Linked DNA regions of Callithrix jacchus. The protein of the gene in region 1 binds, or shares a complex with, the protein of each later gene. Links are inferred from orthologs where the notes say so. Each region holds a gene or a part of one and is shown in the gene's direction. Other genes may lie near its edges.

The links.
Region 2: NHP2 (region 1) and TERT share a complex: the UniProt entries of both Homo sapiens proteins name them as parts of the telomerase holoenzyme complex. The link is inferred for Callithrix jacchus from reciprocal best matches to the Homo sapiens genes NHP2 and TERT.
Region 3: NHP2 (region 1) and GAR1 share a complex: the UniProt entries of both Homo sapiens proteins name them as parts of the H/ACA small nucleolar ribonucleoprotein (H/ACA snoRNP) complex. The link is inferred for Callithrix jacchus from reciprocal best matches to the Homo sapiens genes NHP2 and GAR1.

Annotation. Positions count from the first base shown.
Region 1 is NC_133503.1:70,651,604-70,655,871, forward strand, and holds the start of NHP2 (H/ACA ribonucleoprotein complex subunit 2), read left to right. Parts: upstream 1-1,401; 5' UTR 1,402-1,468; coding exon 1,469-1,628; intron 1,629-1,720; coding exon 1,721-1,790; intron 1,791-4,268. UniProt on the Homo sapiens protein: Required for ribosome biogenesis and telomere maintenance. Part of the H/ACA small nucleolar ribonucleoprotein (H/ACA snoRNP) complex, which catalyzes pseudouridylation of rRNA.
Region 2 is NC_133503.1:204,825,537-204,829,186, forward strand, and holds part of TERT (telomerase reverse transcriptase), read left to right. Parts: exon of another isoform or gene 1-178; intron 179-204; coding exon 205-331; intron 332-1,210; coding exon 1,211-1,272; intron 1,273-3,650. UniProt on the Homo sapiens protein: Telomerase is a ribonucleoprotein enzyme essential for the replication of chromosome termini in most eukaryotes. Active in progenitor and cancer cells. Inactive, or very low activity, in normal somatic cells.
Region 3 is NC_133504.1:87,424,201-87,427,565, reverse strand, and holds the end of GAR1 (H/ACA ribonucleoprotein complex subunit 1), read left to right. Parts: intron 1-420; coding exon 421-562; intron 563-1,945; coding exon 1,946-2,017; intron 2,018-2,406; coding exon 2,407-2,420; 3' UTR 2,421-2,724; downstream 2,725-3,365. UniProt on the Homo sapiens protein: Required for ribosome biogenesis and telomere maintenance. Part of the H/ACA small nucleolar ribonucleoprotein (H/ACA snoRNP) complex, which catalyzes pseudouridylation of rRNA.

The DNA of each region.
Region 1 (4,268 bases):
GCTCATGCCACCATGCTCAGCTAATTTTTAAATTTTTATTAAAGATGGGGTTTTATCATGTTGGCCAGGCTGGTCTCGAACTCCTGACATCAAGAGATCTGCCCTCCTCGACCTCCCAAAGTGCTGAGATTACAGGCATGAGCCACTGGCTCCTCGTAAAAACCTATTTTGTTTTTATTTAATGCAAAATAAACAAAATTTATTGCACCTTTGCTCCAGTGTTAAAAGTTTTTTTTGTTTGTTTTTAAGATACAGGATTTTCTTCTGTGGCCCAGACTGCCAGTGCCTATTCACAGGTGCAGTCATGGCTCACTGCAGCCTCTAACTCCTGGGCTCAAGCTAACCCCATCTCAGCCTCCTGAGTAGCTGGGACCACTGGCACGTGTCATCACACTGGGGAAAGGCCAATTTTTAAGTTAGTTTAACTGACCTTACTCCCACAGCCACCAGAACACTTCTAAGTTTCTATTTACTGGCTTATTCTAGCAATATAAAAATGGCAGGCCTGCCACATCAGGATCAAAGGTAATTAGTATTACAAGTTAGTCATTTGTAGCAATTATCTAATTAATATCCATCCAGAGTTCCAAAACACAGTGGAAGAGGCTTAACAGAGATACCAAGATCCACTAGATCTCGGCCTGCCACCGCCTCCCACTCCCTGGAGGCTCTGTCCCTTAGCCTTCTACCCACCAGCGGGTGGCTCTTCACAGCTCTCCCCGAGCCCGCCAGGGACCTCAGTCCCCAAAGTCTTCCCTCAGCTGTTCCTGGCTTCAATCCAGTCGTCCTCCCCTTAGCGTCGTCTGACTTCTCAGCTAGGCCCTCAGCGTTTGCAGCGTCAGGCAGAGGTAAGAACTGCGGGGAAAGTGGCGGGTGAAAGGATGCTGGTGGGGGAGGGAGGGGACTGCAATTTTAGATAAAAACGGGGAAACCTCTCCCATGGAAAACACTGGAGCAGAACCCTGAGGGAAGAGAGCGAGCCACGCCCTATCTGGAGAAAAATGGTGCAGACGCACGCAGGTTAGTGGGGTGAGCCCTTGCTCTGTATCTTTCACACCTGCGCATCGGGGTCCAAGGGACGGAAAAGAAAGAAAGAAAATTATGCAAGAAAGGAAGCACCCTTTCCAGCGCCGCCCCGGGCCCCGGCCGCGCCCCCGCCCCCGCCCCCTTAGGCCCTGCTTCCCCCAGGGCCCCGCCCCTTGCCTCACATTCCCTCGGCTCCGCCCTTATTCGCCCCGCCCCGCTCCTTGGTCGGGGGCGGCCCCGCCCCTACGATCGCGACTCCGCCCCTCTCCGCTCCGTAGTTTCGAAGCTGATCATCAACGATAGGACTGAGTCGGAGACCTCGTTTCCTGATTGGCCGTGTTGCACGGCGGCTTCTCGTGCAGCTGGTAGCCCGGAAGTAATGCCTAAAGCTGCGGACCGCGTGGTCTAGCCTCTTTGGGACTAGGTTTCCGCGGCCGCTGCGATGACCAAAATAAAGGCAGATCCCGACCGGCCCGAGGGTCAGGCGGAGGCATGCTCCGGGGAGCGCACCTACCAAGAGCTGCTGGTCAACCAAAACCCCATCGCGCAGCCCCTGGCTTCTCGTCGCCTCACGCGGAAGCTCTACAAATGCATCAAGAAAGGTGAGGCGAGAGCCGAGGTGGCCCGGGTGGGGGCGCGGGTGGGGGCGCGGGTGGCGTGGAGAGGCCCCCGACCTACTCTTCTGTCGTTGCAGCCGTGAAGCAGAAGCAGATTCGGCGCGGGGTGAAAGAGGTTCAGAAATTTGTCAACAAAGGAGAAAAAGGGTAAGAACCCTCTTTCCTCTAGATTTTGCATTTCTAAACGCTAACTGAGAAATCTCTACGTGGTAGGTGCGCAGTAAAATGTTGACTCTGACCTAGCCCCATATACAGAAGCCAGTTAAGCAGTCAGTAAAGTCCCTTTAGTACAATACCGACACGAGCTTAAAGTGAATTCCAGGGTGAAGCGAACTGTGTAAGCCAAGTTCCTTAGACCCAGCTTCACTCATTCAGGGATCCTACTCCCCAGTCTCCGCTCCTTGCCTCAGATTGCCTCGAGCCCTCGCCCTAATCCGCTCAGCCTTGAATCTGTCCTAGGGGTGGCCCCTCTCTAACTCTGTATTTAAGGGGCTGAGTATTAATGTTTTTGTTTGTTTTTGAGACAGGGTCTCTCACCTAGGCAGGAGTGCAGTGGCGCAATCACAGCTCACTGCAGCCTTGTCCTCCTGGGCTCAAGCGATCCTCCCACCTCAGCCTCCCGAGTACCTGGGACCACAGGCTTGCGCCACTACGCCTGGCTAATTGTTGTTTTGCAGAGACAGAGGAGTCTCGTCATGTTGCTCAGGCTTGTCTTGAACTCCTGGGCTCAAGAGATCTTCCTGCCTCAGCCTCAAGAAGCACTGGGATTACAGACATGAGCCACCACACCTGGTAACCTTAACGATTGAGTGTGTACTCTTTTTCAGGCACTGTGCTATGGGAGAAACAGTAACATTCATTGATCAGATAATCACACACACAAATAATTAAACGTTGTGATAGCCATGAAGGAAAATAACAGAATGCAATGAGAATTGTTTCATTACCCCACTTTTCTTAATGGCATTTATCAAAATTTGAAGCTTCTTTACATTTTTCTTCCCTGTATCATCCTCTCAGGCCAAATGGTAAGCTCCAGAACAGGGCCTTTCCTTGCTTTATCCCAAGAAGTGAAACTGAAGGTGCACAAGAGATCAATAATGTTGGGCAGACTTGATGCTTAATGGTGTCTAACCTAGTTGGGAGGGCACATCAGGGGAAGTTTCTCTCAGTAGTCCCATTTGAGCTGAGATCTTAAGACACAGGGATGGCGGCCGGGCGCGGTGGCTCAAGCCTGTAATCCCAGCACTTTGGGAGGCCGAGGTGGGTGGATCACGAGGTCAAGAGATCAAGACCATCCTGGTCAACATGGTGAAACCCCGTCTCTACTGAAAATACAAAAAATTAGCAGGACATGGTGGCGCGTGCCTGTAATCCCAGCTACTCAGGAAGCTGAGGCAGGAGAATTGCCTGCACCCAGGAAGCGGAGGTTGCGGTGAGCCGAGATTGTGCCATTGCACTCCAGCCTGGGTAACAAGAGCGAAACTCCGTCTCAAAAAAAAAAAAAAAAAGACACAGCGATGGCCGGGTGCATGGCTCACGCCTGTTATTCAGTACTTTGGGAGGCCAAGGCGGGTGGATCACTTGAGGTCAGGAGTTTGAGACTAGCCTGGCCAACATGGTGAAACCCCAGCTCTACTAAACATACAAAAAAATTAGCCGGGCATGGTGGTGGGCTCCTTTAATCCCAGCTACTTAGGATGCTGAGGCAGGAGAAGTGCTTGAACCCAGGAGGCAGAGGTTGCAGTGAGCCAAGATTGTACCATTACACTCCAGCCTGGGCAACAAGAGCGAGATGCTGTCTAAAAAAAAAAAGAAAAAAAACACAGGGATTAATTTTGGAGTGGGATCGGAGGATCCTGCCAGAAGAAGGAGTGGGCCTCAGGGCAGGAAGGGGGATCTGGTGAACCCCCTTCTTAGGGGACCTTGTAGCCCACAGTAAATTTAGTTTTTGTATTCAGTGCTTTGGAAGCCATTGGGGGTTAAAGCCAGGAAGTGACATAATTTTTATTATTTTTTACACCCAAAAATTTCCGACAATTGATGAAAGGATTAGAGAGGTAAGAGTAGGTTTGGGAATGTTCAGATAGTAGACCACCGTAGTGCTGGAGAGGTGATGGTGGAGACAGAGTTAAAGGAAATAGATTTGAGAGGACTTTTAGATGTGGAGAATGAGAAGGTATTGATGACTTCTAGGTTCTGACAGGCCCAGCTGGAGGGACAGAGGGCCCCGTCTGAGATGTGAACAGTGGAGGGGGACTAGAAAGATCACAAGTTGGCCAAATGTCGTGGCTCATGCCTGTAATCCCAGCACTTTGGGAGTCCGAGGTGGGTAGATCAGGAGGTCAGCAGATTGAGACCATTCTGGCCAACATGGTGAAACCCTGTCTCTACTAAAAATACAAAAATTAGCCGGTGTGGTGGCGTGCACCTGTAGTCCCAGCTACATGGGAGACTGAGGCAGGACAGTCACTTGAACCCAGGATGTGGAGGCTGCAGTGAGCTGAGATCGTGCCACTGCATTCTGGCTTGGTGACAGAGACTCCATCTCAAAAATAAACATCACAGGTTTGGTTTTTGATAAGTTTTGGAGGTACTTTAGAGACACATGACTTCCTCCCCTCT
Region 2 (3,650 bases), about 130 Mb from region 1:
TCCTGGTGGTTTGGTTGTGCAGGGTCCAGATGGGGGTGTAGCAAGTTGCATCTGTGGAGTGGGCACCCAGCCCCCTTGGGCTGCAGTGCACGCCTCAGGCAGGACAAGGAGCGGGAGGAGGAAGGGAGGCTCTTCCCATCAAACTTTGCGAGAGGGGCATGGTGTGGGTTGGGACCTGTGTCTGACATCCCCACTTTGTCTCAGCTATGCCCGGACCTCCATCAGAGCCAGTCTCACCTTCAACCGCAGCTTCAAGGCCGGGAGGAGCATGCGTCGCAAACTCTTTGGGGTCTTGCGGCTGAAGTGTCACAGCCTTTTTCTGGATTTGCAGGTGAGCAGACTGACAGCACAGAGTTCAGAGTTCAGGAGGTGTGTGTGTAACTGCACAAGTGTATGCGCATGCGTGTGGCATGCCTGCAAGTCTGAAGGTGAAAGTGTGGCTGCACATGCGTGCACCTGTGCACATGAGTGTGTGTACATGAATGCATGACAGTGTGTGTACAGGTGTCCAGGGGTGCAGGTGTGAGCATGCATATGCGTACCTGATGTGTGTGTGTGTATGTGTAGCGTGCCTGCAAGGCTGAAGGTGAAGGTGTGGCTGCACATGAGTGCACATATGCACGTGTGCGTGTGTGTGCATGAATGCATGGCGGCATGTGCACAGGTGTGCGAGGTTGCAGGTGTCAGTATGCACATGTGAATGCATGCCTGACGTGTGCATGTGCAGTCGTGTGCATTCATGTGAGGTGCATGTGGGTGTGCAGTAGCAGGCATGCACATATGTGTATCGAGGGCCCCTCATGTTCACCCTGCTTGGTCCTCAGTACCAGCACCCCTCCTGAGACAGGGTCCCAGGTCCTGCTGGGCTGAGGCTCCGAAGCTGCGGCGCTGAGGGCATGGTCCCATCTGGGCGTTTGCATCCACTCCCTCCCTCCTGGTTCCTTCCCGTCCTGGCCGATCTTCGGGCAGGCAGACGCCAGAGTTCTGACCACACACGCTCTACCCCCCCACCCCTACCCTGTGGCTTCCCCTCAGCATGGTTCACAGCTGCCTGGTGAGGGCCAGGCCAGATTTCATCAGGAAGAGTGATGGTTTCTTATCACAGTGATCCCCTTTCTTATTCCATTTGAATGGATGATAAAGCAAGAAGTAAGAACTTAAAATTCCAGAGAGGTTTCTGCCGTTTCTCGCTGTTTCTTGGTGACTCTAGGTGAACAGCCTCCAGACGGTGTGTGCCAACGTCTACAAGACCTTCCTGCTGCAGGCTTACCGGTGAGCCACCAGGGGGCGCGGGCCCAACCTCCAGAGACCCTCCCCACTCTGCTCACCTCTGACGGGTGGGGTAAGGAGTATCTTACCTTTTCAGCAGTGCTGCCTCCTCAGCCTGGTTCTATGTCCGCACGGCTTTGTGTGAAGTGCCCATTCGGTCTCCAAGTAGCGGTAGGAGCTGACGTGGCCCCAGGTGTCCCTCCTGTGCCTGTGCACTGCCCATGGGACCTCATGGAGGCCATCTAGGCAGCAGGGGCATGGGGTAAAGAGACATTAAAGGGGTATCATAGAGGAGGCCCGGAACGCCCCACGTGGGGCCTGGGGTAGTCACTCGATGAGGGCAGCCCTGAGAAGACCGAGGTATGATGGGCCACGGCTGCTTCGAAACACAGAGTCAGGCACGTGGGAGGCCCAGGAACCCTGTTCCTTCGACACAGGAGTGGGAGAACGGAGAGCTGGGCTCCTATTTCACAGCAGTGAGGCTGTGGCAGTCCGGGTGGTGCCACGGACAGCTGACTCAAATCTGCTGGGCTCAGCCTTTTCAGCCATGCCGGCTGCACCCCCACACAGGCCGGGGATGGATGCCTCAACCTCTAGCAGGAGGCGGTTGTTTCTCCCTTTGGAAGAGAGCCCCTGGCCATGCAAGGTATTTCCCTCCTAGGTCAGGAGCGTGGCCCTGTGCTGACCCCAGACCTCGGGTAAAAGCATTCTGGGCCTGGCTTCTCTCATTGCTATGTGGGGAGACTTCCCAGCTCAGTAGAGTTACTGAGAGGCTGAGACCAGAGTGCTGGTTTGACTGGTATGATCTCAGGTTATTCCAAAAGGGGCTCAGGCAGTGAGACCAGGTACGCAGGTGCCCTGATCACACATATGAGCACCTGTGCATGGGTGTCCTGATCGCATGTATGAACACCTGTGACAGGTGTCCTGATCACACACGTATGAACACATGCACAGGTGTCCTGATCACATGCACGTATGAACACCTGTACATGGATGTCCTGATCACACATGTATGAACATGTGCATGGATGTCCTGATCACACATATGGACACACATGTCATCACACACGTATGACATGCGCAGGTTCCCTAATCACAGGCATGTATGAACACATGCACGGGTGCCCTGATCACACCCACGTAGAACACGTGCACGGGTGTCCTGATCACACGCATGTATGAACACCTGTGCACAGGCACCCTGATAACATGCACATATAAACACATGTGCATGGGTGCCCTGATCACATGCACGTATGAGCACGTGCACAGGTGTCCTGATCATACACACATCTGAACACATGCGCGGGTGTCCCGGTCACACGCATGTATGAACACGTGCACAGGCACCCTGGTCACACACATATGAACACGTGCACAGGCATCCTGGTCACACACGTATGAACATGTGCACAGGCACCCTGGTCACACGTATGAACACGTGCACAGGCACCCTGATCACACACATGTATGAGCTCATGCACAGGCACCGAGATCACACATAAGAGCACCTTGCCTGGGTGTCCTGGTCACACGTACGTATGAACATATGCACACACATGTATGAGCACATGTGCACTTGCGCTGTCTGTCGATGCAGTCCTGCCCCGAAGTCCCAGGAAGCTGAGAGGCCAAAGAAGGAGCTGGCAGGCCCAGTGCAGCAGCTCACACTGGTAGTCCCAACACTTTGGGAGGCCAAGGCAAGAGGATGCCTTGAGACCAGCCTGGGCAACGTAGGACCCCATCTCTGTGACAAATCGAAATAAAAGCTGGCTGAGTGTGGTGCTGTGCACCTGTAGTTCCAACTACTTGGGAGGCTGAAGTGGGAGGATTGCTTGAGTCCAGGAGGTAGAGGTGGCAGTGACCTGAGATGACACCACAGTATTCTAGCCTGAGTGACAGAGTGAGACCCTGTCTCAGCAACAACAAAAAAGACTGACAAATGCAGTTTCTTGGAAAAAGACGTGGTAGGGACTTCACCTACACACAGAAGCCAAGTCTGAGTTCCAGTGGCCGTCAGATGAGGTGCTGGATCCCTGCACTGTCAGCCCAGACCCAGGGCCGACGCAGCACTGAGGCGGGCAGCTCAGCAGGGAGGCACAGGTCATTGATTGCGATGACATTGAGGTTGTGTGACTGAGGGCAGGTGTACAGCGAGTTCCTGCTGGTACACAAGAAACTTGATAAACTGGAAGTCTTAGAGGCCTTCCCAGAACAGGGCTTAATCAGAAGCATGGGGGGTTGGCATCCAGCATGGAGCTGATTCAGCCTCCACGTGTGTGTGCATTCATACAGATGGCACACAGAAACGTGCAGTGTACTTGTGCGTGCACTTGGACATGCTGGTACCTGCACACACACACCTCTGCACATGTGTA
Region 3 (3,365 bases), on another chromosome or scaffold:
TTCTCATTCATAAGTGGGAGTTGAACGATGAGAACACATGGACACATGGTGGGGAACATCACACACCCGGGCATGTTGGGGGGTGGGGGGCAAGGAGAGGGAGAGCACTGGGACAAATACCCAATGCATGCGGGCTTAAAACCTCGATGACAAGTGATAGGTGGAGCAAACCACCATGGCACATGTATACCTATGTAACAAACCTGCACATTCTGCACGTATATCCCAGAACTTAAAATTTAAAAAAAAAGATAAAAGAAAACTAAGGTAGTAAGAAATTAAGTGCTTACCCAGAGATACATTGTGGAAAGAATTAAATTGCAAAACGGAACCCAGTCAGTTTTGACTCTATCATGTAGCTTCTGAATTATTATACTGTCCCCCAAGTCATCACACTAATTGCTTCTATTATGTTTCCAGTTTTATATAGACCCATATAAGCTGCTGCCACTGCAGAGGTTTTTACCTCGACCTCCAGGTGAGAAAGGACCTCCAAGAGGTGGTGGCAGGGGAGGCCGAGGAGGAGGACGAGGAGGAGGTGGCAGAGGTGGTGGCAGAGGTGGTAAGTTACTTGGGGAAAATTTCTGTTGAGATTTTAGAGTCACAGCTAAATTCATATAGTACAATTTAGTTTTGAACATAGCAAACCTCCCTTATGGTAAAGCTGCTTTCAAATATTGACAGATTGTCCATAATAATAATGCTTCATTTCAACAACTTAAACAGAAAAAAAAAAATCTACTGTAGTATACTTTTGAGGGACTTTATTTCTTTGGGTTATTCATGTTTTCTTGGGCATTTTAATAAACCATAAAATCATCTTAATTTTATTATCATTGAGTATAGACTGCATGCTGAAAGCTGGTCATACCTTCTTTTAATTTCTTTGTATATTCTTCTAATCTCAGTGAAACCTTTTGAGATAGATGATATTTTTGTTTTATGAATGAGGAAAACGGAGACTTACAGAAATTAATTTGCCCCCATCAAACAATTGGCAGACCCAGAATTAAAATGCATATCTTCTGATGTCATGTCAAGAACTATTACTAATAAGTTCATTGCTGTGATCTCACTGTTTCCCCAAGGTTTTGGCACATTCATCATTAATTGGCAGCTAGGTGATGAGCAGGGCTCTGGGGAGTGGGGCTGCCATGTCCTGTGAGTAGGGGGAGGGCCAAAGTGGAAAGGGGGAGGAGCTGAAAGTTGGGCTTTTGTTATTGGATCAGAAAAAGAGAAGGAACGATTCGCTTTTGCGTCTCTCAATTTAATCATCATTTCACTCCATAAATGTACTTGTTTGGGTCCATATAGGTAGCAAGGAATATCTTTAAAAAATATCAACATATTTCTCCAATATTTTCAGGGGTACCTTCTTGAGAATTTGATGAATAGAGATTCCCCTATTCTCATTTGAGTATCATTTAACATTTCAAAAAATTCACAACTATCTTATTTTTAAAAAATCTTACCTATGTAGCTCAATTAGCCTTAACTATCATATTTATTATCATGCCCCCAGAGCAAAAGCACCCATAGGTGCCACCCTTTGTTCTTAGGATAAAAAGCCTTCATTCCATCAAACTATCCTTCGTTGAATCAAAAAGTCTTTATCATAAGCAAGAACTAAGGTGATAATTGTACATTTAACAAGACTGAATTATACTTTAAAGTAGCAGGTTTTCTAATTTATTGAAATGGAATACTTGTTTAAAAGGAATCTAGGGTTTTAGCCTGTTGCCAAGTTGGTAAACTACAGTCCCTCCATTTTTATCTTCTAAAATTTTTTCCATGATAAAATATGTGAATATTCATTGTAATTATAGTTATTGTATTGATGTTTGTAGGCTTATCAGCATAAGAGGTTATATAGTTAATAACTGTTCATGTTTATTATTTATATTATTTAAATATTTTGCATTATTATTTAATACATGTTTTTTAGGTGGTTTTAGAGGTGGAAGAGGAGGTGGAGGTGGGGGCTTCCGAGGAGGAAGAGGGGGAGGTGGTTTCAGAGGTGAGTATCTTAAAAAGTCTTTAAATTGCTTGATTTTTAGAATTGATACTAAACAGGCATTTTCTGTTTTTGTTTCAGTTTATTTTTCTCTGCTAGCAAGTATGTAGCACACCGTGATGTTCTTTGCTTAGCCTAATTTGTGGCTTTATTTTATATCACTTTTTGTTTTGCCTTTTCCTTTCAATTTTTTTCACCTAATTCTAATTTGGTTTTGCTTAATTATTAATTTAAAAAATGAAAGTGTAATATGAATGACAGTTAAATTGGGTAAAATATGTTTGCTAAACATTATAGAAACTAATGCTGATTTTAAACTTGAGTTTTAGGTTATAATACTATTAAGAAATCCATTTTCTGTGCCCTTAATACTTCAATTTTCTCTTAATTAGGGAGAGGACATTAAGTGAAATGGTTGACAGACATCACCAGTTGACTTCTGCATAAACCTGTGTCATCTGTTTCTACTGTGGATTGGAAACTTGTTTCTTGAGCAAGTCTTGAAGATCTTGGTCGTTTTATGACAATGGATCTAAAATGTCAGCATTATGCCAAGTACAACGGAATAGTGAATTTTGCTCTAAAAGAGCATGAACAAATCTTTTTAATGTTTTGTATAGTGCCTGGCACTCTGTGGGTGCTTAATAAATGGACAGGAGTTTTCATTTGAAGCATATTTGAATTTTTAAAATAAAGTGTTTATTCCCTTATTTAGAGTGTGTTTATTAAAGAAACCCATTTTTTGAAGTAGAAAGGAACAACTAAAGCTTAAACCCAGTGAATTGCAGATTAAAAAAAGGTTTCTTTTCAATCCTTTTTGATTCTATTTGATCTTTGAAAAAATAGGCTACTAGAGCAGTACTTTATTTACAAATTAATACCCCCTTTCAAAACCCTGGCCTTTTACATATGAGAACATAGCTCTGTGTTTCCCTTTTGTGTTTTAATACATAAATCCGTTAAGCTGTTTCTCTAATTGCATTTAATTATTGATTTAAAAATTTTCCATATTAGCAATGTATTGAAGGTGGAGTAGCTCTGTTTAAGTGAAAACTGTAGTTCAAGAAATTTCTAAAGAAACGGTCAATTTTTCTCAGCCAACATAAATGGAATATTAAAGGTTTTATTGAATGTTATTTCACTTTTACTTTTTTAAAGGGACTCTAAAAGTTTAAGGTGTTATTTACTATACGTGAATATCGATTGCATACCACATGTTCAAATTGCTGGGTAATGATGTTAAAAATGAAATTGGTTTTGGTCACTGTTGCTAGTAGCGTGTAAAGAAATGACCATGGTAGCAAGTTACAATGCCATGATACGGAGCTATTTACCCTGCTATTCATTTTGC